Linked DNA regions of Ovis aries. The main gene of each other region encodes a partner of the protein of the gene in region 5 in a complex. Links are inferred from orthologs where the notes say so. Each region holds a gene or a part of one and is shown on either strand. Other genes may lie near its edges.

Region 1 (3,938 bases), on a different chromosome or scaffold from region 5:
GCATGGCAACCCACTCCAGTATTCTTGCCTGGAGAATTCCAGGGACAGAGGAGCCTGGTGGGCTACAGTGCATGGGGTCGCAAGGAGCTGGACGTGACTGAGCATGCACACACGCAGCAGCAGGGCAGGCCCTCAGTAGTGTGTGCACAGGAGGAGGCGGCATAACAGCTAGCTCAGGATTCAGGAGTTACGCCGCCTGAGGTCCAATCTCCACTCTGTCCCCAGCATCTGGGAGAACCTGGCAAATCATGCAACCCCATTAAGCCTCCATCTCTTTATTGTAATATGGGATAGTAACTGGGGTTCCTACTTCATAAGATTATCCAGAGGATTAAAGGAGCTAATGTGTATGCATGCTTGCATGCTAAGTCGCTTCAGTCGTGCCTGACTCTTTGCAATCCCATGCACTGTAGCCTGCCAAGCTCTTCGGTCCTTGGAATTCTCCAGGCAAGAATACTGGAGTGGGTTGCCATTTCCTCTTCCAGGGATCTTCCCAACCCAAGGACTGAACCTGCATCTCTTGTGTCTTCTGCACTGGCTGCTGCTGCTGCTGCTAAATCACTTCAGTCGTGTCCGACTCTGTGTGACCCCAGAGATGGCAGCCCACCAGGCTCCCCCGTCCCTGGGATTCTCCAGGCAAGAACACTGGAGTGGGTTGCCATTTCCTCTTCCAGGGATCTTCCCAACCCAGGGACTGAACCTGCATCTCTTGTGTCTTCTGCGCTGGCAGTCAGGTTCTTTACCGTTCCTGCCACCTGGGAAGCCCTAAAGTGAAAGTGTCAGTCGCTCAGTCATGACTGATTCTTGGTGAGCCCATGGGTGATAGCTCACCAGGCTCCTCTGTCCATGGAATTCCCCTGGCAAGAATACTGGAGTGGGTTGCCATGCCCTTCTCCAGTGGATATTCCCGACCTAAGGACTGAGCCTATGTCTCCTGCATCTCCTGCATTGCAGGCAGCTTCTTTGCTGTCTGAGCCACCAGGAAACATGTGTGAGACATTCTGTATAGTGTTGGGCCCAGAGCCAACACTCAAGGTAAGTGTTAGATATCATGACAAAGATGTTAGATGCTGTACCTATATAAGCCTATGAAATCTTCAGACTTATTATTGACAAATATTGTTATTATGACACCATTATCCTCATTTCACAAACAGGAAAACAGAGGCTTAGAGAACTTAAGTAACTAGCTAAGCATCACATAGTAAATGGAGAAGCTGAGCTCTGAACCAATGTCTGTCCAAAGCTGTCCCTCACTTCCCTGCACAAAAGCAGAGACAAATCACGGGATGTTGGGATTGCTTCCTAAATTGCCCAGACTCGGTTGTCATAGCACTTTTCCAGTGGGCCTCACACTCTCTCCAGTCGGAGCCTGGGGTCACCCTCATTGGTGCTGACCTGAAAAGCCCAGGCTCCCTCACTCCCTGTCCCTTCCAGTCACAGGGCCCTTCTGCAGAACTGATGATCACTTCAGCTTTTGAGGCCCCACGAGGATCCAAGAGATACCGCAGAGCTGTGCTTTCCTGCCCCGTGGCCCACTTTGGGCCCTCCATGTTCCTTCCAGACCTAGGGTTCAGTGCTCGAGTCTCCCGCACCTTCCCTCCTCTCAGAAACGTCTCAGACCTCCTCCATCTTTCTCAAGTGCCTAGTTAAATCCAAACACTTTGGGCAGAGGCTCCACCTGCCTGCCTAAATGGGAAAGTTGAAGATGCTAGAGGAGGAGGATCCTCTCTCCTTTCTGCTCACCACACCCCTGGTCCTCACCTCTCTTTCTCTGAACTGAGAAGCAGAAGTGCCAGGCCTTCCTTAGGTTCTCTGAGGACCTCTGTGGCCTTGGACATCCCTTCTTGGGGGCTGGGCTTTGACGTCCCATATCCCCCAGCTTCTCTGGTGGTGCTTCCTGCCTTCTCAGTCAGCTGTTCCTCAGGGCCCTGGCTTTGGTCTACATTTCCCCAATCCCTATCTTGCCTACTGTGTCAGACTCCACCTCAGGCCAAGTCATTCCCATTTGGGAATTCAGAGTTTGCGGAATCACAAAAGAGGGGCAAAAAAGTTTCCCTGATAGAGTTCTGGCCTAGCACCCCTGGTCTTTTGCTGGTGAGACAGTCTGCACACTTATCACACCCCTGGGCCAGGCTTTCCTCCCAACTGCGCACTTAGGTCTGTGGTCTTAAAAAAGAACTCCACCCTCATCCCTACCTTTGATTCAGACACCCCACCAGGGAACCTCAGCTCCAAATGCTAGCAAGTCCCTCCCCCAACCCGCCTGGGGTGAAGGGGCCCTCCTTCTTGGTGACCAGGGATAACCAGCTTTGTCATGGGAGGGAGGGAGGTGTAGAAGTGTCTAGACCTGCGGGAAGGACTGCAGCCCCAGGAGCTGGGAATAGAGCTCTGTCTTTCCAGGAAGGCTGGGGCCCCGGAACTAGGGACTGCTCTCACTCATGACCGACTCTCATTCCACTTTCCCCTTCTCCATCTCCGGTGACCCTCCCCTGACTCGCAGAGCCAGTTTGCAGTGGCCGTAGGGAGGAAGGAGGCATGGTCAACTTCATATGGGGGTGGGGGCTTCCCATAGGTACAGGCCGGCCCTTCCTTCTCACGGGAGCCAAGGTCACCTGCAGACTTCGGCCAGGTGGGCTGACTCTGTGGGGTGCTCCCATGCCCTGTGGGGAGAGTGGGGGCAGAGAGCTCAGCCCGCTAGGGGAGACCGGGGCCGGGTGTTCTCTCTCCAGAGGTTACCTCACCGCTCCCGAGACCTGGCCTCTCACCTTCCCGCAGGTCCCCACGAACGCAGGTTGTTAGGGACGCCGTGCGTCGCTAGGGGGCGGGCCCTCAAGGGCGGGTGCGCATGCGTTCTCCCGCAAGCTGGTTGACTGCTATGCGCTGTGCGAAGGCAGGGCTGCCGGACTTCGATGGTTGTAGCAGCACGCCTTGGCCCAGGATCGATGCAAATACGTGTCCCCCTCTAAGGCACTATGTGGAGCCCAGAGCGGACAGTGAGAACTCTGGCATCCGGACATGCTTTGTGCGTCGAGTGGACATATTTAGGAGCAGTGGGTTTCTGCAGGGAAAGGCAGGGAGCTGCGGATGCGGCAGGGCTCCTGGTCTACTACGGGGCTCTTCCTTCTCCGGCCTTTTGTGTGGAAATGGAGATGGGGATGACGAGTGGGAAGACGGTCCAGGAAAAGCACCAGTGGCCATTCCCTTCCGGAAGAGGATGATGGAAGGGCACGTGCAGTTCTTGGAACTCCCCTGAGGCCCTCAGCTGACCACTGGCTGCAGCATACCTTTGGAGCCACCCTCGGCCTTTCTCCAGGTTGTCAGCAAGGCTGAGTTGGCACCAGGCAGGAAGACCCCAGGCCTCCACAGCGCTCCCTCCACAGCCCTAAGCCCGACACCAGGAATGACCAGCTTCTGTGAAATGACTAGCTTTCATAGAAAAGGAAATTGTCCTTCAAGAGGGGAAGAGCAACCAAGGGTGATTGGTTCACTAGAAGCAGAACTTAAATTTCAGTTCTGATGATTACTAGCTGGGTTACCCTGGATAAGTTACAACCTTAGAAGCTCAGTTAACTCATCAACATCCCCCCCCCCCCCCCCGCCACCGCCCTGCCCTAGTATCCTCACTGTGGTGACTATATGTTAAGATCCAGGCTTTCAGTCAGTGTACTGAACAGTGGCCCCTGCCACAGTAGCTAAGATCCACAGTTGCGACCTCTCGGGACTGCAAGCAGCCAGAGGCCAGGGGCTCCAGGCCCCTTTCAAGCCCTCATCAGTGATTTACCAACTAATCACCACTGCCTCAATTAGAATGAGCAATCACGCAAGAAATGCTGTCAGGAAGGCCTGCTCTGCTCTAAAATTTTGACTAAATGCCCCCAGAACTTCGCAGCTAGGGAGGCTCTGACTTGGGGATGGGTTCCCCGAGTTCCCCTTCC
Region 2 (3,981 bases), on a different chromosome or scaffold from region 5:
CTTCCCTGATCCTCCACTCAAGTCCACTTGTGCTGCCTGTTCCATGGCCAACTTGGACATAGCTATGACTCAGAATGGCTTCACACTGAATCATAAATACAGTCAGCCCTCTGTATCTGCAGGTTCTTCATTCATGGAATCAATCAAATGTGGGTCCAAAATGACTGGGGAAAAATTCCATTGTTTCAAAAAGCAAAACTTTAATTTTCTAAGTGCAGGCAATTATTTACATGGCATTTATACTGGATTAGGTTCTATAAGTGATCTAGAGATGATTTATTTAGAGGTGATTTATACAGTAAGATGGATGTAGGTTGTATGTAAATAGTGTGCACAGATTTTAGTATCCATGGGGGTCCTGGAACCAAAGCTGAGGATACTGAGTGAAGTGAAGTCACTCAGTCATGTCCGACTCTTTGTGACCCCACAGACTGTAGCCTACCAGGCTACAGTCCATGGGATTTTCCAGGCAAGAGTACTGGAGTGGGTTGCCATTTCCTTCTCCAGGGGATCTTCCCGACCCAGGGATCGAACACAGGTCTCTCTCATTGTAGGCAGAGGCTTTTACCATCTGAGCCAGGGAAGTCCATTGAGAATACTGAGGGATGACTGTATTAGATTCTTTGAAGAGGCTCCGTCTTCCTCCCCAGCTCTGGGTGTGAGGATAGTTTCACCCCTCCAGGCCTATTTGCATTGATGATAGTACAAAAATGGTTTCAAAAAGGAAAAATCGATGATCCACAGATTTTTCAGGTTCTCCGCATGGAAACTAAAATTCATTTTCTTTATAAAAGTTTGAAATTGTATACTATGAAGTCATGTGTTAATATATCTAACCAAGAAAAAATTTTAATAGAAAAAAAAAGATGATTCTGAGAGGTAATTGTGCACATTCCACTTTGTGGCCCCCACCTCCTACTTTTCCAGCTCCCTCACTCAAATACTCCCTCTACCCTTTTTCATTCACCTCTTACAAACTTCCACTTTCTACCCACATATCAGTATTATGTCTTGTTCTCATATCCCACCCAGTCCTTAGAGTCCTAGGCCCATCACTTTAGGCACTCTCAAAAGCTTAGCTCCCTCCCCACTGCCCTTCCATTATATATGTGTGGCAAACTCCTATCCTGAATGAAATCAGCTCTTATTTGTATACTTAGGTCTGATTTACTGAGTGCTGCTTGAGAAAACCATGCAACTGGGAAGATAAATAGCAAGCTTTCTACACATTTTCAAATACAATTGTATAGAGGTAAAACATGAATGAAACTCATCATAAAAAAATTAAAACCCTACAGATGTATATGAAGTAAAAGATTAGACCCAAAACATTTGCTGTTAATAGTTTGCCATATATTCTATGCATATATTATTGTCTTACATATATATATACACATATAAAAACACACTTATATACATATACACATATGCATACAAGTATGAATTCAGGTAGCTAGATGTTAGTACACTTTGTTAGGCAATTTGCATTTTTGTCTTAAGGCACAGGTATATATTGTTCTACAGAATAGCCCATTCCCTTATTTAGACTTATTTACCACGTTCACTATGTGACAATGTTACAATGTATATACTTGTACATCCTTCTGGTTACATGTGCAAGTATGTCTCTAAAGTGGATCCTCAGAAGTGGAAATGCTTGGTTAAAGGGTATTCATATTTAACACTTTAATAAATATTTGAAAATTACCATCCCCAAAGGAGGGGGCTGTACTGAACTGCCCTCCCACTTGCGTAGGACAGTCACTCCCCCAGCTGGACTCTCAACACTGCCTCACCTTCCTTCTCTCTCCTTCCCTGGACTTCTAACTCTCCCTCCTTGTCTGAATAACTTAACTACTCAAAACTCCTTCTACAACTGCATCCCCTGCCAAACATCCTCAATCTTGACAAACATTTCACCTCATATTTGTAGAGAAAATGGAAGTCACCAGAAGATAATTTTATTGGATTTCTAACTCGGAGCCTACAAAGCCTACCCACCCCTTGTCCTGCTTCCTTCCTGTTACAAGATGGGTGGGGAAGGACAGTCTTTCCTCCCATTTAAGCCTTGGTTGTGTGGATCTTCCTTTCACACAAAGGGCTGACTGCTTTCTATCTAAAGATCTCAGTTTCCACTCCTCAGCTAACCTCAATCTATTTTCTGCCTTCATCACTCCATTGAAAACCCACACTTACCCTGGGCCAAATCCACTACAACTTTTCAAGTCTTTATCTTAGGTGACACTATTGCCCACTTTCTTCATAAAGCCATACTCTTCTGCTTTTCCTCCTCTATCTCCAAGGCATTTCATCCTCACTCCTCTAGTCCTTAGTTCCTCTTATCCAAATCTGGAAAGTTGGCGTTTGGGGTTTCTGTCCTGAGGTCTTTCCCCCTTTCTCCCTGGGAGATGTCATTCATCCCCCCTTTCAGCCACCTTCACCCCTCTGCTTCAACTCTCTGATATGTATGTTCAGCCCGGACCGCCGTCCTGTCCAAAGCTGACTTCATCTCTTCCCTTTTCGCTCCTCTTAACCTCCACTTCCTCTCTTCGCCAAACTCCAGTCCCTCCTCTGGGAATTCTCTGCCCATTCTTCCCTCTTCTAACTCCGCCGCCATGTGGCTCCAGTACCTCGCAGACCTGAGGAATGTAGTTCTCCCTGAAGTATTTCCTCAGCCTGGGGCTGGCCCGGCGCAGCGAGGCCATGACCTGAGCCCCTACTGAAATCCTGCGTGGCTCGCTGGCCCTCCCCACGCCCGGAGCAGCAAGAGCCACTCCTGAGCGAGGGGCTAGCGCGTCCCGGCGTTGCCACGGCAACCGCGCGGCGTGGGAGGAGGGGCTAGGCATTGCGTTGCCTCGCGCCCTCAGTGGCCTGCCCGGAAGAGGGGCGGGCCTCGGGCCGGGGCAGGGACCCGCCTCCGGGCGTCCGGGGCGGCCCCCGGCGAGTGCTCTCGGGGCGTGCAGTGCTTGCAGCGCTTCACCCAGTCTAGCTCGCCTCCAGCCGTGCCCCGCCCACTCTCCAGGAAGCCGCCAGGAAGCGTACGGGCTGAGTGGACTCTTTCACTTTTCAGCAGGGCGGTTTCTGAGAGGCGGAGTTCAGTCCCCCATTTCCTTTCTCCCGCGGCGTCATCCCGGGCGGCGGCGCCTGGACCCGCTGGCTCCGGACACTCCCGCGCCGGGCCCAGCGCTGTGCGCGGCCCCAGAGGTAGCATGGGCGGCGCCCGGGACGTGGGCTGGGTGGCGGCGGGCCTGATCCTCGCGGCCGGCGCCTGCTACTGCTTCTACAAGCTGACGCGGGGCCGGAGACGAGGCGGCCGCCGGCTTCGGCTGCGCCCCTCGCGGTCCGCAGGTAAGGCCACGGAGTCCCTGGCAGGTGGCGAGGACTGGGGCTGGGCCTTTCCCTGGATGAGGGGTTGCAAGAGCTCCCCGTCATTGTGTTTGATCTTTTAATGCGTTTGCTTGGAAGCTCTTGGCTTCCCTGCTGCTGCTGTTGCTAAGTCGCTTCAGTCGTGTCCGACTGTGCGACCCCACAGACGGCAGCCCATCAGGCACCGCTGTCCCTGGGATTCTCCAAGCAAGAATACTGGAGTGGGTTGCCATTTCCTTCTCCAATGCATGCATGCACGTTAAGTCGCTTCAGTCGTGCCCGACTCTGTGCGACCCCATGGACAGCAGCCCACCAGGCTCCTCTGTCCACGGAATTCTCCAGGCAAGAGTACTGGAGTGGGCTGCCATTTCCTTCTCTATGGCTTCCTTGTGCTGGGAGTAAATAAGAAGCCCAGCCAGGGAGGGAGGATGGTGAGAAGAGCCAGGTCGGGAAGCCCAGGTGCAAAAGGCGGATCTTAATTGGATGAGTGTAGGGTTCGATTCCCTACCTTCATTTCTTTTTTTGAAAATACCAGGATGGATAATTGCTGTAACTTTCTTGCCCAAGTCTGGTGGCACAGAGGAGGATTAAGTTTTCCAGAAGTGTGTAGATTGC
Region 3 (4,126 bases), on a different chromosome or scaffold from region 5:
GAAGATACGGAGGTAAGTAATTCAAACAGTTATATTCAAGCTTGCTTTCATTCTAAACATCAGCCAAACTAAGAGAGACTGTGTTTTGCTCGTGAGAGACATGTGGGCAGTGGGGAGTAAGAACTGTCTTTAGAGAGACCATTGAGAGAGGGAGGTGCAGTGAGAAAGTTAGGGCTTCTTCATTTATAACTAAAAGGTTAAGATTGGGTATTTTTTGCTATCCTGAACCTTCTGTTGCAAGTAGTAGAAGAGTCAGTGGGGGAAGACAGTATGAGAGCTTAAATTGCAGTTTTCTAAAGAAAGACCATTCTAACTCCACCCCTTCAGGCTGGACTACATCAGTGTGATCCTCTGAGAGAAAGTGCTGTGAGGGCAGGGTGTGCTGTGTGTGCGTGCTAACTCGGTTAGTGCTTGACTCTTTGTGACCCCATGGAATGGGGCTATCCAGGCTCCTCTGCCCATGGGATTCTTCAGGCAAGATTACAGAGTGAGTTGCCATGCCCTCCTCCAAGGGATCTTCCCGACCCAGGGATGGAGCCCACATCTTTTAAGTCTCCTGCATTGGCGGGCGGGTTCTTTACCACTAGGGCCACCTGGGAAGCCTACCTAACTGCTCCTGCAGGCCCTTCACTTCTTCCTCCAGCTTCCTGGTGCGACTCTGCATCGCCTCCTGCAGGCTCCGGCACTGACGACTCATCTCTGGCAGAGCCGTGGGTGGCCAGGGACCCAGATGGGGAGAGAGCAGTGGAGAAAGGACAGAAGTTGTGGGTGGGGAGGGCTCTGCTTGGTCCAGTGGACAAGTGCATAAAGGTCTGTTGAGGGCCTTCCCTGGCAGTCCAGTGGTTAAGACTTCACCTACCAATGCAGGGGACGCGGATTTGATCCCTGATCTGGAAGCTAAGATCCCATATTCCTCAGAGCCAAAAAACCAAAGCATAAAACAGAAGCAATATTGTAACAAATCCAATAAAGACTTTAAAAATGGTCCACATTAAAAAAAAAAAAATCTTAAAAAAAAAAAGTCTTCTGGATTCTTGTGGTGATCTGAGAAGGTAGGGACAGAGCTAGGAAATAAGACACCCATCCGCTATGGTAGCTCAGTATGTGAATTCAGGCCCTCCTTCCCACCCACTCCCACGGGAGGAGTGAGATAAAGGCTAGGGCTGCGTTTCATAGTCCACGGGACATCAAGCACAAAGCACTGCATGTCACGGAAGGTTCCTGCCCAAGACCACAGAAGGCCCCCTCAGGATTCCTGTGGGTGCAGGGAGGGCTGAGGCTAGGTATGGCGGTTCGAAGTCCTCCTTGTCTCCCTTTCTAGCATCCTTGGGCCCTCCCAGTTGTCCTCTTCCGGGCCCCTGTCTCCCGCCCACCTGCTCGATCAACCTCACACCTGCATATATGGCCTTCCCTTCGCTCCGGGCCCCCTCCAGTTCAGCCTCCAGGTCTTTGATCCTCTGCTTCAGCTGGTCTTCCGAAGCCTTGGCTCGGCGGGCTTCATCCCTCTGCAGAGCTGTGAACAGTCCAGAGCAGCCCTCTGCACTGGTTGGGGGCTCCACTCAATCAATCAGCCCCCATGGCCTTGATGGACTCTGTCCACCTTCAGAAACCTGGCGGCAGCCTGCCAGTCTCTCATCGTCATTCTGTTTCCCTTCCCCGCCTCAGAATCCTACAGACTCTGTTACTAAGAGGGAAAAACTCCCTCTGTGTTCCAGCTATAAAAGTTAGCTTTCTTTATCAACCCTCACGGCCCACCCTGTCCTCATGACCCCAGCTCTTGACAATCTTTTCCCATTAGGGGATGGTTAGAGATCAGCTCAGCCCTCCACCATTGTTCCAAAACTTTAAGCTCCCAGGGATACACAAATGCCCACTGTCTCTGTTGCCGAACTTCTACCCTTCTTACCCAAGCGGTCTTGGAGCACCTCCTTTTCCAGCAGTGCCAGCCTGTGCATGGATTCAGCCTCCACATCTGCCCTGGCAAGACAGCAGACCCTCAGCTTGTCAGGATCTCAGCCTTCCCTACCCTCCTCCCACCCTCCTCCCATACCCTGGACTTCTCTTTTTTTTGTGGGAGATACAAGGACCATTAAATGAGGGATCTCTGATAGCAAAGCCTAATGAGTTCACTACCCAGCTCACAGTAGGTATTTGAAAGATTGTAATGAATATACAAGGAAGGCACACAGCCAGAAGGGATTCATGGGTGCTGATTTTCCCATGTTCCCAGCTCCATGGCACCCGAATATGGATATAAAGGGGGAAGGCCAAGACAGCTCCATCTTGTCACGCAGAGGGATGAATTCTCTCTGGAGGTCTCTGAGCCAGAACAAGGAGAGGCTGGGAGGCACCCACCTCCACCCAGTCTGACTCACCAGCACCTGCATTTCTTTTCTTCTTCTGGGCCCCAGCTTTTGTCCCTTTTTCTTTGGTCTTAGGTGGCATCTCCTTCCTGTCCTGGAGGGAGGGAGGGGGCTCATATTTAGGTCTGGACATGGAGACACTCTCCTGACTCCCTAGACGGAACCAGGAGTCCCAGGAGAATTAGTGCTCTCATCTCCAAGTCTGTCTCTTACACTTTCCAGAAGCTTCAGTTCTTGGTTTCCTTGGAAACTTAGGCAAGGCTGGGGCCAGGGGGAAGGATGAACCCATTTCTCTCTACCAGTCAAGCTCTAAGTACAGAAATCATTCCTCTCAACCCTCTTTCAGAGAAAATAAAGCTCAGTACCTGGCCCCTTCTCTCTTCCCATCATCCTTACCCTGCCTCTTCCTTCCTCCAAGACCCTCACTTGTCTCTGTTGTATCTCCCTGTGGCGTGACCCACTTTCCAGGAGGGGCAGAGAAAAGGCCCAACCAGCTAGGAGCCGGAGGAGGAGATTGTGTTCTGGGACCCAATCCAGAGTGGCAAATTTCATTTGGGGGTGGGACTGAGAACTGGAAGGTTGGGCTTCTGGAGGCTGCACGTTGTCCAGGCAACTGGGAAACATGGAGCTGTTAGGAAGGTACATGCATGCTTGCTCAGTCGTTATAATTGTGTCTGGTAGAAGGGGCTAAATACAATGCTTAAAATACCAAGGTCTCAGAGGGCCAATACTCTTCTTGTCCCCAGATCCTAAGTGTAGTTTGAGGAGAGAGGGCTTTGGAACTGATTAAATATGATTCACTTCTATGTAGCACTGCCTGCAATTTGGACACTTACAAATTATAGATTTACACATCCAAAATAATGCTATTGCGCTGATACAGAGGAAAAGAACTCACGGTAGCCATTTGGGGTGATTTACATTTCCCAAAGTCTCATCAACAAAATGACATTATTAAATAGGCTTAAAATTGAAGATTTCAGGAAGGTATTCTACGGTGAATGAGGGAAAGAAATTCAGGAGATGGTGGTTGAGAGAGTTTCCTATTTCAGATAAATGAGACACAGAGGAGAGTTCGACCTAGGACCTCAAGGTGCTGTGCTAAGTCACCTCAGTCGTGTTCGACTCTTGCAACCTCTTGTGACCCCATGGACTGTAGCCCTCCAGGCTCCTCTGTCCATTGGATTCTCCAGATAAGAATACTGGAGTGGGTTGCGATGCCCTTCTATCCTGACATAGATGCAAATCAAGAAGAAAGGGTACTGGTTAGAGACAGGAGCTTTTGAGTTCTCATCCTTACCCTTCTCCAGATATGTAAATTTGGGTAAGTCATTTTCCTTGCTCAGCCTCAGTTTCCTAAATCTTTGATTTTGTAAATCTTGAAAGGCTTGGATTTTCACCAGGTATTTACAGGACTATCTTCTTTTATGGTGACTTAATATATTTCCTCTTTCTCCCTATTCCTGTCTGTGGTTGATTTTCAGACAGGTGCTGAGAAAATAACCAGCTTGGTTCCCTGTGGCATTGAGTTGATTTGGGCTCCCTCTAGTGGATTTTCTTGACCTTCTAGTAAGTCTCCTGAATTTTTCTATTTAAATTATTTATGGAGCAATGTTGGGGGCACCCCTCATTTAGGGGTGCTGCCTAGCATCTTGCTGGAGTCACGAATAGTTGGAAAAATAAATCTGGGGAAGGGAGAACGCTGAGTGGCTTGCCCTGGTTAGCTGTTCCCTCCCCGAAACCCCTCTCTCCAGCCTTTTGCT
Region 4 (4,248 bases), on a different chromosome or scaffold from region 5:
TCACATAAGTAATAAAGGCCTATGCTTAGTGCTTTCAAGTTCTGGCTGCTCATTCCTCAACGCTAGAAACTCAGGAGTCATTTCTGCTTCCTCCTTCATCCTGACATCAGCATTCCCCCAATTCAAATCATCACCAGGTCCTGTGGATTTTACTTTCAATTTCTATTTCCCCCAATACCCTGCTGAATCTAGCTGTTGTTTCTTGCTTGAACTACTCTAACAGCTTCCAAATTAAAGGTGATCTTTTTGAAATAAAGGGCTCATCGTATAAAGTTGAAAATTTCATTGTATTTCTTAGAACCTCTCAATGGTTTCCCATTAACTTAAGAAAAAAACTAAAATTCTTAACTTGGACCATAGGGCTGCTCCTCTGTTCCTCTCCAGATGCATCTAGCACTGCCCTTTTATTGCTCTCATGGGTCCAGCTTCAGTGGGCCTCTTTCTTCTAAAGAATCATGCTCTCTTCTAACTCAGGGTGTTTGCATATGCTATTCTTTCAGCTTGAACCACTCTTCCCCTAATCTCTTCCACCTTGTAAAGTCCTACTGGTCCATCAGGTACCAGCTTCAACCAGTGGCATTTTGCTGTGTATCTACCACTTTGCCCAGCTAGAGCCAAGCTCCATGAACCATTTTTTTCTCACACCACCTTCTATTTTACTTGCTCCTTGTCTTGCTCTCCTACTAGGATGTAAGCTCCATGAGGACACAGATTTCTGTTGTTCTGTTTACCGCAGCATCCTCCAAGCCAAGAAGAAAATTTCGTACATGGTAGTCAGTCATTCAACAAACTGTTGGAAAAAAAGAATGAATCCATCAGTTCAGTTCAGTCGCTCAGCTGTGTCCGACTCTTTGTGACCCCATGAATCGCAGCATGCCAGGCCACCCGGTCCATCACCGTCTCCTGGAGTTCACTCAGACTCACATCCATCGAGTCAGTGATGCCATCCAGCCATCTCATCCTCTGTCGTCTCCTTCTCCTCCTGCCCCCAATCCCTCCCAGCATCAGTCTTTTCCAATGAGTCAACTCATTCTCATGAGGTGGCCAAAGTACTGGAGCTTCAGCTTTAGCATCATTCCTTCCAAAGAAATCCCAGGGCTGATCTCCTTCAGAATGGACTGGTTGGATCTCCTTGCAGTCCAAGGGACTCTCAAGAGTCTTCTCCAACACCACAGTTCAAAAGCATCAATTCTTCGGTGCTCAGCCTTCTTCACAGTCCAACTCTCACATCGATACATGACCACAGGAAAAACCATAGCCTTGACTAGACGGACCTTAGTTGGCAAAGTAATGTCTCTGCTTTTGAATATACTATCTAGGTTGGTCATAACTTTTCTTCCAAGGAGTAAGCGTCTTAATTTCATGGCTGCAGTCACCATCTGCAGTGACTTTGGAGCCCCCAAAAATTAAGTCTGACACTGTTTCCCATCTATTTCCCATGAAGTGATGGGACCGGATGCCATGATCTTCATTTTCTGAATGTTGAGCTTTAAGCCAACTTTTTCGCTCTCCTCTTTCACTTTCATCAAGAGGCTTTTAGCTCCTCTTCACTTTCTGCTGTAATGGTGGTGTCATCTGCATATCTGAGGTTATTGATATGGATTCTCCAAAGAGCAACACAAATAATGTGCAATAATTAGGAAAGGTAAATCTCAGGCATCCACTAAGCTATCCCATTCCAGTGCACAAATATTTACTGAAGACCAATTGGACATGGGCTAGGTGGCAGGCACTTGGGAGTTTAGCAACTGCTGTCGTTGTTAAGTCGTGTCCAACTTTTTTGTGACCCCATGGACTCTAGCCTGGCAGGCTCCACTGTCCATGAGATTTCCCAGGCAAGAATACTGTAGTGGGTTGCCATTTCCTTCTCCAGGGGATCTTCCTAACCCAGGGATGGAACCTGCATCTCCTGCATAGGCAGGGGAATTTTTTTTTTTTTTTTACCGCTGAGCCACCAGGAAAGCCCTTTGGCAGCTGAGTTCTCCTTAAAAGGCAACAAGACTTTGTCAGGGATGTTCTCTTCACCCTCGGAGTCAAAACGAAGAACGGCGGTAAGAACTTAAGTCATTTCTCTAAAGAGATAAAGGGGTAAAAGGAGGAAAGGATTAAAAGGGTGGTAAGGGGCGGAGGGTGGTTTCCAGGTGGCTCAATGTGTAAAGAATTCGCTTGCAATGCAGGAGCCAAAGGAGACGCTGGTTCGATCCCTGGATCGGAGAGATCCCCTGGAGGAGGGAATGGCAACCCATTCCAGTATTCTTGCCTGAAGAACCCCATGGACAGAGGAGCCTGGCGCGCTGCAGTCCATAGGGTCGCAAAGAGTCGGACACGACTGAACAAGGTCGCAGAAAGGCAGAAGAGGGCTTCCCAGGTGGCGCTGGTGGTAAAGAACCCGCCGGCCAATCCAAGAGATGCAGGTAAGCTCCTAGGGTGGGGAAGATCCCTTGGAGAACACGGTAACCCACTCCAGTATTCTTGCCTAGAGAATCCCAAGGGTAGAGCCTGGTGGAGGACGGTGCATAGAGTCGCAAATAGACGCGACTGAGTATATATGCATGCAAAGGGGTAGGAAAGGTATAGAGAATTAAGAGCTTTCTCCTCCTTTCTTGCTCGCGGTCTTTCTCTTCCAGGCTAGGATCCGAGAGCTTCCGTTTGCCCTACTCCTAAGTGGTAAGAAGGAAAAATACCCGCTTGTTGGCGAACCAGTTCTAGGGTACTCGAAGCGTAGGTCGTCCTCCCCTCCGGCTTCACTTTGCCAACTACACCCCCGGAGGCCGTCGGAACCAAGCTAAGGTGTTTCTGTGGCAACGGACAGCTTCGGAGGACCTTTTCTTCTCTTTTAGCTGGCTACTATTTTGCCTCCCTGTGTTCCAAAATAATACATTTTGCAGCTTACAAAGATAAAAGGACTTAGGGAGAGAATTGTACAGGTGATTTTGAGCGTGGTTCATTTCAGTCAGAAGGCGATTTCTGAGGCTTTTTTGGCGGTCGCGGAAGTTACCTAAACGGGGGCGGGGCGGAGATGTATTTACCCACAAGACCACGCGGCGGGTCCTCGCTGGTCTCTTTCAGCCATCTTGGACCCTGTGAAGGTGTGTAGACTTCCTGCAGCTGAACTTTGGGGGCAAATAAGTGGGGTAGGCTCGGCTATATCCCTCGGACGAGGCACGGGTGTGACTCCGAGGCTCTACCAGCTAACGATTTCTGTGATTTCCAGCAACGGGGAGGACAGGATGGAGGAGATATGGGACTGATGGTGCTGGTTCCCTGACCTCCGAGAATGGGTGCTCCGGTAACCAGTTGCTTCCGGGCCCTAGCGGAGTAAAATACAAAACAGATGCATTTTGTCTGGCAGCAGCGGCACCTTTAGGCAGGGTTCTTTGTCCATTTACTGCCACCTCAAACCTGTGTTCTGCATGTTTACTGTGTCTTTCCTTAGCTTTTCTTTCCCGTTCAGTGTGGCTTCCCTGGTGGCTCCCACGGTAAAGCGGCTGCCTGCAATACGGGAGACTCGGGTTCGATTCCTGGGTCAGGAAGGCCCCCTGGAGAGGGGAATGGCAATCCACTCCAGCACTTTTGCCTGGAAAATCCCTAGGACGGAGGAGCCTGACAGGCTACAGTCCGTGGGGGTCGCAAAGAGTCGCGACTCTTGAGTCGCACGACTGAGCGACTTAAGTGTGTAAAAGTGTTGTTCTTAAGACTTTCTTTTGGTGTTTCTAGCAGTTATGTCTTGTACTGTAGAATTTTGCCACTTTAGTTATCTTCATTTTGGCGTTTGCTTAGTTACTTAGCATTCTTTGAGTTTGGGGTGCTGTTCCACAGGAAGCTAGTAGGTTGGAAACGGGCGTTGCGGGGTTTTAAACTGAGTATTTTTGTTTGCAGGCCTGCTGGGAACGGGACTTCTAAAACGACAAATATGTCTGGAAGGTATGTGTTTTAAATATCATTGCTTTGTACTTACAAGTGTACTTGTTTATAAGGCATGATCGTAAATGTAAGTTTAAGTCTGGTGGGGAAAAAAAATAGATGTTTGGTGTAGGTAAATTTAGGTGGGGATCATCACAAGTCAAACCATAGCTGTTGCTTGTTGAAGTTAAGTGAGATTTTAACAGCTTAGAATTAACAGTGTATTTTGTCTTAGGCTGTGGTCCAAGGCAATTTTTGCTGGCTATAAACGGGGTCTACGGAACCAAAGGGAACACACTGCTCTCCTGAAAATTGAAGGTGTATATGCTCGAGATGAAACTGAAT
Region 5 (4,261 bases):
ACTCTTCATCTCGGCAGTGCACACTGATAAACCATGCTGTGCTGTTCATTTGTGACAAACGAATACCCTGTCTTGTTATCCTGAGCTAACCCTCCTATTCTTGCCCTTTTTGTTGAAAGGAATTATTGTTAATGCATTCGTTTAATTCAGGACTCCCAGCCAGAATTCTAAAGCAAAAAGCCAGTCAGCATGAGGCACCTAGCATAGTAAGTGCTAAATAATAATCATTAGCACTCTGTCCTACCAGGCTGCACTGTCTTACTTGCCAGAACCCCTGTGGGAGGAGCCTACCTTAGGGGAGAAGACCCCTATCAGACCAGACGTGTCTGACACAGGCTCAGGCTCTTGTCAGCCCAGGCACAGAGACACCATCAGACCTCCCAGAGGCCCTGGGACTGCTATAAATGTCACTCTTTGTGCAAGTCGGTTGATACAGTCCCTCCAAAGGGCCATTCCTCTCCAGGAACAATTAAGTCTTGGGTGGGCAAAGAGGAAACCCCCAGGCTCTTTTTTGTGGCTCTCTTCCCTGACCTGAGCCTTTCTCCACTATTCACACTCTGTGCCCAAGGCAGTTCTCCAGGGAGAGAAGATTCCTCTCCATTCCCAAACTGACAGAAAAGCTTGACCTGCCGCAAAACCACTATTTCATAAGATGCTAATGTTGAGTGTGGAAAACAAGACAACAAATGGTGTTGTTTTGGGTATAGGTAGCTGGATGGTAAGAGGGATCAGAAATTCTCTCTGCAATTTGTAAAGCAGTTAGCAGTTTTCAGAGCAAGAGGTTAGAGGGAAGAAAACCCCTGAAGACTTTTTTTCCCTGCAGAGCTCGTCTGGAAGCCCGTAGCAAAGGTTTCTAGTTTTTCCTCACCAGGAGGACAAAGTCTCTTTAGGAAGAGCAGTTAGTTTTTGTGAAGGGGAGACTTGTTGATTTCAAAACTGTGGACCCCGCTGGAATATAATTTTCTCGCCTTACTTTTGCTTCCTCTGAGGCTTTGTGGAAATCCAGCTGTCTTCCAGCCTCAGGTGGGAGGAATCGTCAAAGGGGGGCAGGGTGAGGTGAGGCCCCAGAGCAGAGGTTCCGCGAGAATTTGAATCTAATTTGGGTAAAGTCGCGGTGTGGCCGCCTCCCCTCGCTCACTCTTTGAGTTCATGCACTGTAGGTCTTGTACCCACGTAGAGTACGTAACAAGTGGACGGAAACCGTTCCTCCAACCTCCGTGGAGCTTAACTTTTAGTGGGGAAGACCCGCAGTAAACAAGACCTGTCCCGAAAGGAATGCGTTCCCAGGTATCTTGGAGAGGTAGCTTGTGGATAATGTCCAGCTTCGGCCCAAATCTACAGACTCCGCCTGGTTAGTTGCTAAGGACTCCCGCCGTTGCGAGGCACCGGCCCTGCCTGCGGGGTATCGCGATGGTTCTCGAGACTTCGCGCGGGATCGTGCAGTCGTTGCCTGGAGACGGCGCATCCTGGGAAGGCCGGGCACTTTGGTTTGTTGGTCCACGCAGGCGGGAAACCACAACCATGGTGAGGCGGTCTCATAGGGTCCGCGCCGGAGCCCTAGGGCTCAGGGGTCGGCTGGCCTTGGGCGCTGGGAGTCCCCGGGACGGGAGATCTGGAGCTTTGGGGTCTTGGAGCTGCGGGCTTGGTGCTCTAGGGGGTGGGGGGCGGGGTGTCCTCGCAGACGCGGCTTCCCCGTGGAGCTGAGAGACTTGGTCTCTCCAGAATCTTGTACACACCCGGGTGGTGGTCAGAGAGCACCGTCTCTCCCGCCCCCAGACCTAGGGACTGGTGTGCACGTGTCCGGACCGGAAAACCTGGGTCGAGTGGCTACCCTACCTGGAATGGAAGGCTCATTGATCAGATCCTTGGGAAACAGAGGTCCTCCAGCCTCTGGGATCGGGAACCTGGGGTATACCATGGTGGCCAGAGGGTCCTGACAGCGGTTCCAGCGCACGTAAAGTCCCCAGGGCAGAGCTTGGGCAAACCTGAGAGGAGTCAGGCGGGAACTGAGCAGAGTGGAGCTTGCTGCCTCTGGGCTTCTCAGTCCCCACCCCTCTGTGGTAGGGCTCTCAGCTGCTCACTCCCCCCTGTGCTGTATGGGCTGTAGGTCACCCAGTTTCCAGGCAGGTGTGGCAGGGTGGCCATCAGTGCGGGGACCCCTCTGTGTGTGGGGGCCCCAGGGGCTCTAGAGGCCCCAACCACTGCCTTACTCCCAGATGCTGAGTAAGCTCCTGGGCTCTTCTGATGGGTTGGACTTCTTGGAGTAGAGGGTTAGAAAGAGGGCAGTGTTTTAGGAGTGAAGATTTCAGCGGTTCTGTCTTTTGCAAGTCAGCTGGGAAAAGATCACCAAAATACATCTACTTTCACTAACTTGAGGGAAATATGCATGATTTTCCTTTTTTTTTTTTTTTGTTACTATGCTTTCTAACATTTCCTCATAAACTTTTTTGGTAATAAAAATGTTACAGAGACGTGCAGATGCATGCCTCTTTATAGACAAAAGCATGAGCCACAGAAACTTGTGAGAAGTGAGGGCAGAGGATAAGGCGTTAGTTTTCTTTCTGTTGAGTGGCCCCTGGAGACGCAGTGGGGCAGAAGGTCCCCTCTGGCACCGTGGAGAAGTGGTTAAAAGCAGGCGTCACCGCACTGACAGAGCCCACAGTGTGTGAGTGCCAGTCTGTGCCAGCAGTCTTCACCCCCGGTCTCTGAGGCACCCACCTTGCGCCCATGGAGCGATATATTGCAGGTTTCTCTCTGGCACTTGCCAAGCACTATAGTCTGTGCTGCTGGGGATACTCCTTTGTGAGGCCGAGTAGCTTTTGCTCCACACCAAGGAAGTCTCTGCTGTATACAAGGAACATGTTCTCCCTCTTCCTTTCTGAGGGGAAGCAATATTCTCTTCTGAGAAGGGAGATTTCTCTTTGCTGTCCACAGAATATGCCTGTGGTTAAGGATGGGAAACCTTAGGGCAGAGTGAGGCGGCCCGGGTGGAAGCCTGAGACAGTGGGCAGTCAGATAGAGGTTCCAGGCAGAAATTCCTCTCCCGAATGGCCCTGAAAGGGAATGAACCAGCCAGAAGTGAACCCTAACCCGACCATGTATTCTTCAATCCAAGGCGCCCAAAAAGAAAGGGAAGAAAGGCAAAGGCAAAGGCACTCCGATTGTTGATGGGCTGGCTCCGGAGGACATGAGCAAGGAGCAGGTGAGCGGGCTGGCTGGGCCACGGCCCCTTGCTGGGGCAGGTGGGATGGGTTTGCTGCCCCACGCTGGTCCTAGGAAGTTCTTTTAGACTGCAGCACCCCGGCTCCTTGTCTGCTTCCCCTCAGTCTGGCTCCTGCCGTCTGCCCACACCAGGACATGTGAAACAATGCAGCACGTGTGATGGGTAAACTTTCCGCTAGGGTAGTAGGAACTTGGAAGGAAATGTTTTTCTGATATAAAGCTATTTTAAGTTTTCTTTCATTCTTACCCTTTTTAGGCCCCTACTGTTTACGGAGATGTTAATCATAGTATATACACTTACAGCATTCTCATTTATTTGATTTACCATTAAACACTGTGAGTTATTTTAGGCCGCATGTTCATTTCGATGACATTAAGAGCTAGGGAACATGATTTGATTAATTACAGTTTCAATTGAAAGGCTCCCAAAACCTATAACTTGCGCAACCCATGAGAGCAGATGTGGTCTGGAAGTGTTCATGACCCTTACTTACTTTTGATGGTTTTAAGATAAAAGAAATCAAGGGAGATTCAACAAGGCATAAGACCTGAAGATGGAGAGCTGGGCAGAGGCCCTTGAAAGTGGTGAACAGGCTCTCTTTCTCACACAGGGAAGCCATCGGCAGTCTGTAGAGGGTAATGAGGTCAGGCTGTGCTTCGAGGGGGTCACTGGGGATGCCTCATGGAGGTTGGCTTACCCGCTGTGTCACCCCAACAATCAGACTGTTTCCTGCCTACAGGTTTACTTCCTGTCCTGTGACACGGCAGGGGTCAGTCTGCAGAGCTTGGAGGCTCTCGGGGTCCAGGCAGTAGTAAGATGAGAGATTCAGGCCAGCTGTGGTCAGATCTGAATTTGGCAATAAGGAGTTCATGATCTGAGCCACAGTCAGCTGCCAGTGTTGTTTTTGCTGACTGTATAGAGCTTTTCCGTCTTTGACTTCCAAGAATATAATCACTCTGATTTCGGTGATGGCCATCTGGTGATGTCCATGTGTAGAGTCTTCTCTTGTGTTGTTGGAACAGGGTGTTTGCTATGACC
Region 6 (4,178 bases), on a different chromosome or scaffold from region 5:
AGAAAATGAAGTTTAAATTCTAGGAAGTAAAACCTTTCACTTTTTTTCCTAACTTCTTGTTTTGTTTTGTTTTGTTTTTAAATCTTTCTGCTGAGCTGTGCATGGCCTGGGGGATTTAATTTTAAATTTTCATAGTATATTTCACCATATACAAAAATATATTCCATAGGGATAAAAATTCGAATACTAAAAAGAACACAATCCAGGATTTCCTTGGTGGTCCAGTGGTTAAGACTCTGAGTTTCCAATGCAGGGAGTACATGTAGGATCTTAGCTCGCTCCCCATGGAACCTGCCTCCCCTGCATTGGAAAGGCAGAGTTTTTTTACTCCAAGTGGCATGTAGGATCTTTGTTCCTCCAAACCATTCCCTAAAGAGCAACAAGGGTGATCTTAACATGCTTAGAAAGTTGAGAAATTCTCACACTAGGTTGTTGGCCTGTGGGTAAGAGCTATAGCCATATGGAAGGTCAAATGGACACTCCAAAACTGCACCCAAGTGCACAAAAAGCAATACTGTATACCAGGGCTACGGTAGGGATTAGCATCACCCTTAGGGATCTCAAGGACTTCCCAGGTGGCTCAGTGGCAAAGAAGCTGCCTGCCAATGCAGGAGACGTGGATTCAATCCCTGGGTTGAGAAGATCCCCTGGAGAAGGAAATGGCAGTCCATTGCAGTATTCTTGCCTGGAAAATTCCATCGACAGAGATGCCTGGTGGGCTACAGTCCACAGGGTCACAAAGAGCTGGACATGACTGAGTGGTTGAGCACACAGTACAATTAGGAATCTCACAGATGTGGGAGTGGTGGTGCCTATCAAATCACCATTTAATTCACTGGTCAGGTCCCTGCAAAAACTGGATGGATGGAGCCAAGAAAATGATTGTCAATTACTGCAAGCTCAAGCAAGCAGCAGTCCTAATTGCAGCTGTCATGCAGGTCCTTGCTTGAACATATAAGTGTGGCCTTAGGTACCTGGAATGTGGCCACTGATTGAGCCAAATATGCTATTTCTACCTCAGTCAGGAAAAAGGATTAGGAAGTTCATATCGAGGAGGAACAGATAATACACACTCATACAGTCCTCATACTTGCAGGGCCATGTCAATGCTCCTGAGCTGACAAACTAGAGTCTAGATAGATCAGGACCACTTGGATATCCCACAGAGCATCACACTGATCTGTTATCTCAGGGCTGCCAAACTTTGGCTGATGGGCCAAATCTGATTCACTTGCTTTTGTATGGCTCAGGAGTGAAGAATGATTTTTTTACATTTCAAATGGTTTTTTGAAAAGATCAAGACGAATAGGCAGAGTGCAGGGGATTTTTAGGGCAGTGAAACTCTTCAGTACAGTACTGTGATGGGTAGATACATGTCATTATATATTTATCAAGATCCAACTGTTGTACCAATGTACCATTCTGGTGGAGAATATTGATAGTGGAGGAGGTTATACATGTGTAGAGTGCGTGTTAGTCACTCAGTTGGGTGTGACTCTTTGTGACCCCATGGACTGTAGCCCACCAGGCCCCTCTGTATGGGATTCTCCAGGCAAGGATACTGGAGTGGGTTGCCATTTCCTTCTCTAGGGATCTTCCCAACCCAGGGATTAAATCCAGGCCTCCCACATTGCAGTTAGATTCTTTACCATCTGAGCCACCAGGGTAGCTTCATACATGTGTAGAAGTAGGGGGTAAATGGGAAACCTCTGTAGTTTCCACTCAATTCTTCTGTGAACCTAAAACTGCTCTAAAATATGAAGTGTATCAATTTTAAAAAAAAAGATCTAAAGATGAAGAATATTCTGTGACACACGAACATTATATGAAATGCAAATTTCAGTGTCCTTAAGTTAAGTTTTTGTTGGAACACAGCCACATCACTCTGGGCCCCTTGTGTCCAAAGACCGGCAGACAACAAGAGAAGCACCATCTTGGCAAGGCAGCTGACCCTGACCAGCAGGACGAGGTATAAGCGCTGTCACACAGTGCGGTGTTCAGGCAGTCACAGGTTCACGCAAGTTCCCCTCGATCCCCCTTCTTAAGACAGGCCACAAAGTCTGTGAGTGGACGAGGGTGGCAACCCCAGCCTGAGAATGGTACAGTTATCAGCCTCAGACTCTGCAGGAAAACGGTTTTGTGTCACACAACCAGTTAAGCCACTGAAACCAACAGAAGTGATAGCCGAGGTCTGCTCTGTAACCCCTTGTGGAAGGAAGGCACGCTGGGAGGCAAGGAGGAAAGAACGATCTCGGGGGACCGGTCATGAAGCCCCAACATCTTCAGGTACGGCCCACAGTGCCTGGCGCAGCAGGCTCTCCGTGAACGTGCTGGAGGGATTCCTGTTTCCATCTTTGACTTTGCTAAGTGTATTCAATGCTTTAATATCACATACTTTGTTTGAACCTTCTGGCAGAAAAGTTTTCTATCTCATCAAGAAGCAAGACCAGCTCACACGTAGGGCACGCGAGCCCCTCACCACAGGGGCTCCGGCCTGGAGAAGCCACCCCCTCATTCCAGCACCCAGGTCACCTGCACCCCGGGCGCTCCTTGGAAGAACGCGCCCAAACCCTGACTCACCGCCTCCGAGCTTCCAGGCGCGCCGCAATGCGCAGGCGCCGGGCCTGGATCCGCTCCTGAGGATTATCAGAATGTACGGAGGGTCCGAGAATTGGGGTGGCTAAATGTTCATCCTCCTTCTCCTCCAGGACCCCCAGGGATCCTGGCGGATTCATGGCAGGTGCCTTCCGCCCCCCGGGCAGCCCTGCCTGGACCACCGTGGGACTACAGTTTGGTTGCTAACAACAAAGCTGTTGCCAGGGAAATGCAGTCACCTGACCCGCAGCTGGCGTGGTTGCGCGCGCAGCCCCTAAGGCCGGGCGCACTGGTGTTCTTAGCGCCGTTGTCTCAGCTTGGGGTTTTATTCCTCTGCTGCAATTACGGTGAGGACTGTATTGAATCCCCCACTAAGGCTCAGGTGGTATTAACAGAGGCCGGAAGACTTAAGAGCTGAACCAAGTTGTGATTCATCACTTACCTACCCTATGATTAATTCATCCATCAAATAAATAATCCTCAAAATCACCGTATTCAGCTAATGTAATTCAATGTCTACTCTATGCCAATCACTGTGCTAGCTCCGAGGATCCAAGCGTTGTCTTTTCCTCGATGGAGGGGGTAGAATAATAGGTTCACTCAGAAATTCTGAACTAAAGTACATTGCATCCACCTGCTTGTCATCCATTCTTTTTAAAAATTAATATGTATAACTTTACTTTTGGCTGTGCTGGGTCTTCTTTGCAGCAGGCGTTTTTCTCTAGCTGCCGCGAGCGGGAGCTACTCCTTGTTGCAGTGCATGGGCTTCTGATTGCGGAGCAAGGGCTCTGGGGCGCAAGGGCTCTGGTAGTTGCCGCTCCTGGCTGCAGTAGTTACAGTCTCCAGGCTCCAGAGCACAGGCTCAATAGTTGCAGCACACAGGCTTAGTTCTTCCGTGGCACGTGAGATCTTCCCAGATCAGAAATCCAACCTTTGTCTCCTTCACTGGCAGGCGGACTCTTTACCACTGAGCCGCGGAGGAATTCCCATCATCCATTAGTGTTTGAGCTCCTACTTTGTGTATTCAGCCTCTATCGTCTCTAGAATGTGAAAACCCCCTGCCATCAATAAATGTATATCCAACAAGGAACCGTTGTCTTATGTAGCGGTTTTCAGTAGGGCTGCACTCCCTCCATTACTACCCGCAATCACATACAGAAAAAAGAGGAGAGCAGAGAAAAACAGGTAGGAAAGGGAGTGAGGGGGGAGGAATGAAAGTTAAGAGCACAGAAGCACATTTAAACTTTCGAAGGACTACTGTCCCTTGAAAAGCACTATTTCCTGGGTGTTTTGTACGTGTCAATTGTCGCACTGCGACAAAAAATGCACCGCGTTCTTATGTAGCATTAAGACTCATTCGAAAACAAGCAGGATAACATTTGATCGAACCTTGTACTACTGGCCTGAGAGAAACTCGGAAAAGGGCACTAGGGTAGTAAGAAATTGCAGACAGGCCCTGCCACCTTGGGTATGGCACAATTTACTGTTTTCTCAGCTGTACTGCCTGCCTACTTAAATCACAAGCAACAGTGAGGCCAAAGAAGATAAGCCCCTTGTCAATAAGCCGTGCTGCTGCTGCTGCT

What was found.
Region 1: GAS8 (region 5) and TCTE1 share a complex: the UniProt entries of both Homo sapiens proteins name them as parts of the nexin-dynein regulatory complex. The link is inferred for Ovis aries from reciprocal best matches to the Homo sapiens genes DRC4 and DRC5.
Region 2: GAS8 (region 5) and FBXL13 share a complex: the UniProt entries of both Homo sapiens proteins name them as parts of the nexin-dynein regulatory complex. The link is inferred for Ovis aries from reciprocal best matches to the Homo sapiens genes DRC4 and FBXL13.
Region 3: GAS8 (region 5) and CCDC153 share a complex: the UniProt entries of both Homo sapiens proteins name them as parts of the nexin-dynein regulatory complex. The link is inferred for Ovis aries from reciprocal best matches to the Homo sapiens genes DRC4 and DRC12.
Region 4: GAS8 (region 5) and IQCG share a complex: the UniProt entries of both Homo sapiens proteins name them as parts of the nexin-dynein regulatory complex. The link is inferred for Ovis aries from reciprocal best matches to the Homo sapiens genes DRC4 and DRC9.
Region 6: GAS8 (region 5) and DRC1 share a complex: the UniProt entries of both Homo sapiens proteins name them as parts of the nexin-dynein regulatory complex. The link is inferred for Ovis aries from reciprocal best matches to the Homo sapiens genes DRC4 and DRC1.

What each region holds. Positions count from the first base shown.
Region 1 is NC_056073.1:17,779,403-17,783,340, forward strand, and holds the start of TCTE1 (dynein regulatory complex subunit 5), read right to left. Parts: upstream 2,801-3,938; 5' UTR 1-2,800. UniProt on the Homo sapiens protein: Component of the nexin-dynein regulatory complex (N-DRC) a key regulator of ciliary/flagellar motility which maintains the alignment and integrity of the distal axoneme and regulates microtubule sliding in motile axonemes.
Region 2 is NC_056057.1:45,849,464-45,853,444, forward strand, and holds the start of FBXL13 (F-box and leucine-rich repeat protein 13), read right to left. Parts: upstream 2,801-3,981; 5' UTR 2,706-2,800; coding exon 2,631-2,705; intron 1-2,630. Other genes in the region: ARMC10 (armadillo repeat-containing protein 10), read left to right, coding at 3,210-3,348. UniProt on the Homo sapiens protein: Substrate-recognition component of the SCF (SKP1-CUL1-F-box protein)-type E3 ubiquitin ligase complex.
Region 3 is NC_056068.1:29,498,872-29,502,997, forward strand, and holds the start of CCDC153 (coiled-coil domain-containing protein 153), read right to left. Parts: upstream 2,801-4,126; 5' UTR 2,577-2,800; intron 2,458-2,576; 5' UTR 2,446-2,457; coding exon 2,376-2,445; exon of another isoform or gene 2,091-2,375; coding exon of another isoform or gene 2,051-2,090; intron 1,978-2,050; exon of another isoform or gene 1,973-1,977; coding exon 1,907-1,972; intron 1,538-1,906; coding exon 1,394-1,537; intron 856-1,393; coding exon 607-855; intron 1-606. UniProt on the Homo sapiens protein: Component of the nexin-dynein regulatory complex (N-DRC), a key regulator of ciliary/flagellar motility which maintains the alignment and integrity of the distal axoneme and regulates microtubule sliding in motile axonemes.
Region 4 is NC_056054.1:191,026,690-191,030,937, reverse strand, and holds the start of IQCG (dynein regulatory complex protein 9), read right to left. Parts: upstream 2,801-4,248; 5' UTR 2,685-2,800; intron 2,415-2,684; exon of another isoform or gene 2,178-2,414; intron 2,052-2,177; exon of another isoform or gene 2,006-2,051; intron 791-2,005; 5' UTR 649-790; intron 1-648. Other genes in the region: RPL35A (large ribosomal subunit protein eL33), read left to right, coding at 3,914-3,924, 4,124-4,248. UniProt on the Homo sapiens protein: Component of the nexin-dynein regulatory complex (N-DRC), a key regulator of ciliary/flagellar motility which maintains the alignment and integrity of the distal axoneme and regulates microtubule sliding in motile axonemes.
Region 5 is NC_056067.1:14,319,952-14,324,212, forward strand, and holds the start of GAS8 (dynein regulatory complex subunit 4), read left to right. Parts: upstream 1-1,461; 5' UTR 1,462-1,521; coding exon 1,522-1,524; intron 1,525-3,115; coding exon 3,116-3,202; intron 3,203-4,261. UniProt on the Homo sapiens protein: Component of the nexin-dynein regulatory complex (N-DRC), a key regulator of ciliary/flagellar motility which maintains the alignment and integrity of the distal axoneme and regulates microtubule sliding in motile axonemes.
Region 6 is NC_056056.1:33,576,709-33,580,886, reverse strand, and holds the start of DRC1 (dynein regulatory complex protein 1), read right to left. Parts: upstream 2,801-4,178; 5' UTR 2,736-2,800; coding exon 2,581-2,735; intron 1-2,580. UniProt on the Homo sapiens protein: Component of the nexin-dynein regulatory complex (N-DRC) a key regulator of ciliary/flagellar motility which maintains the alignment and integrity of the distal axoneme and regulates microtubule sliding in motile axonemes.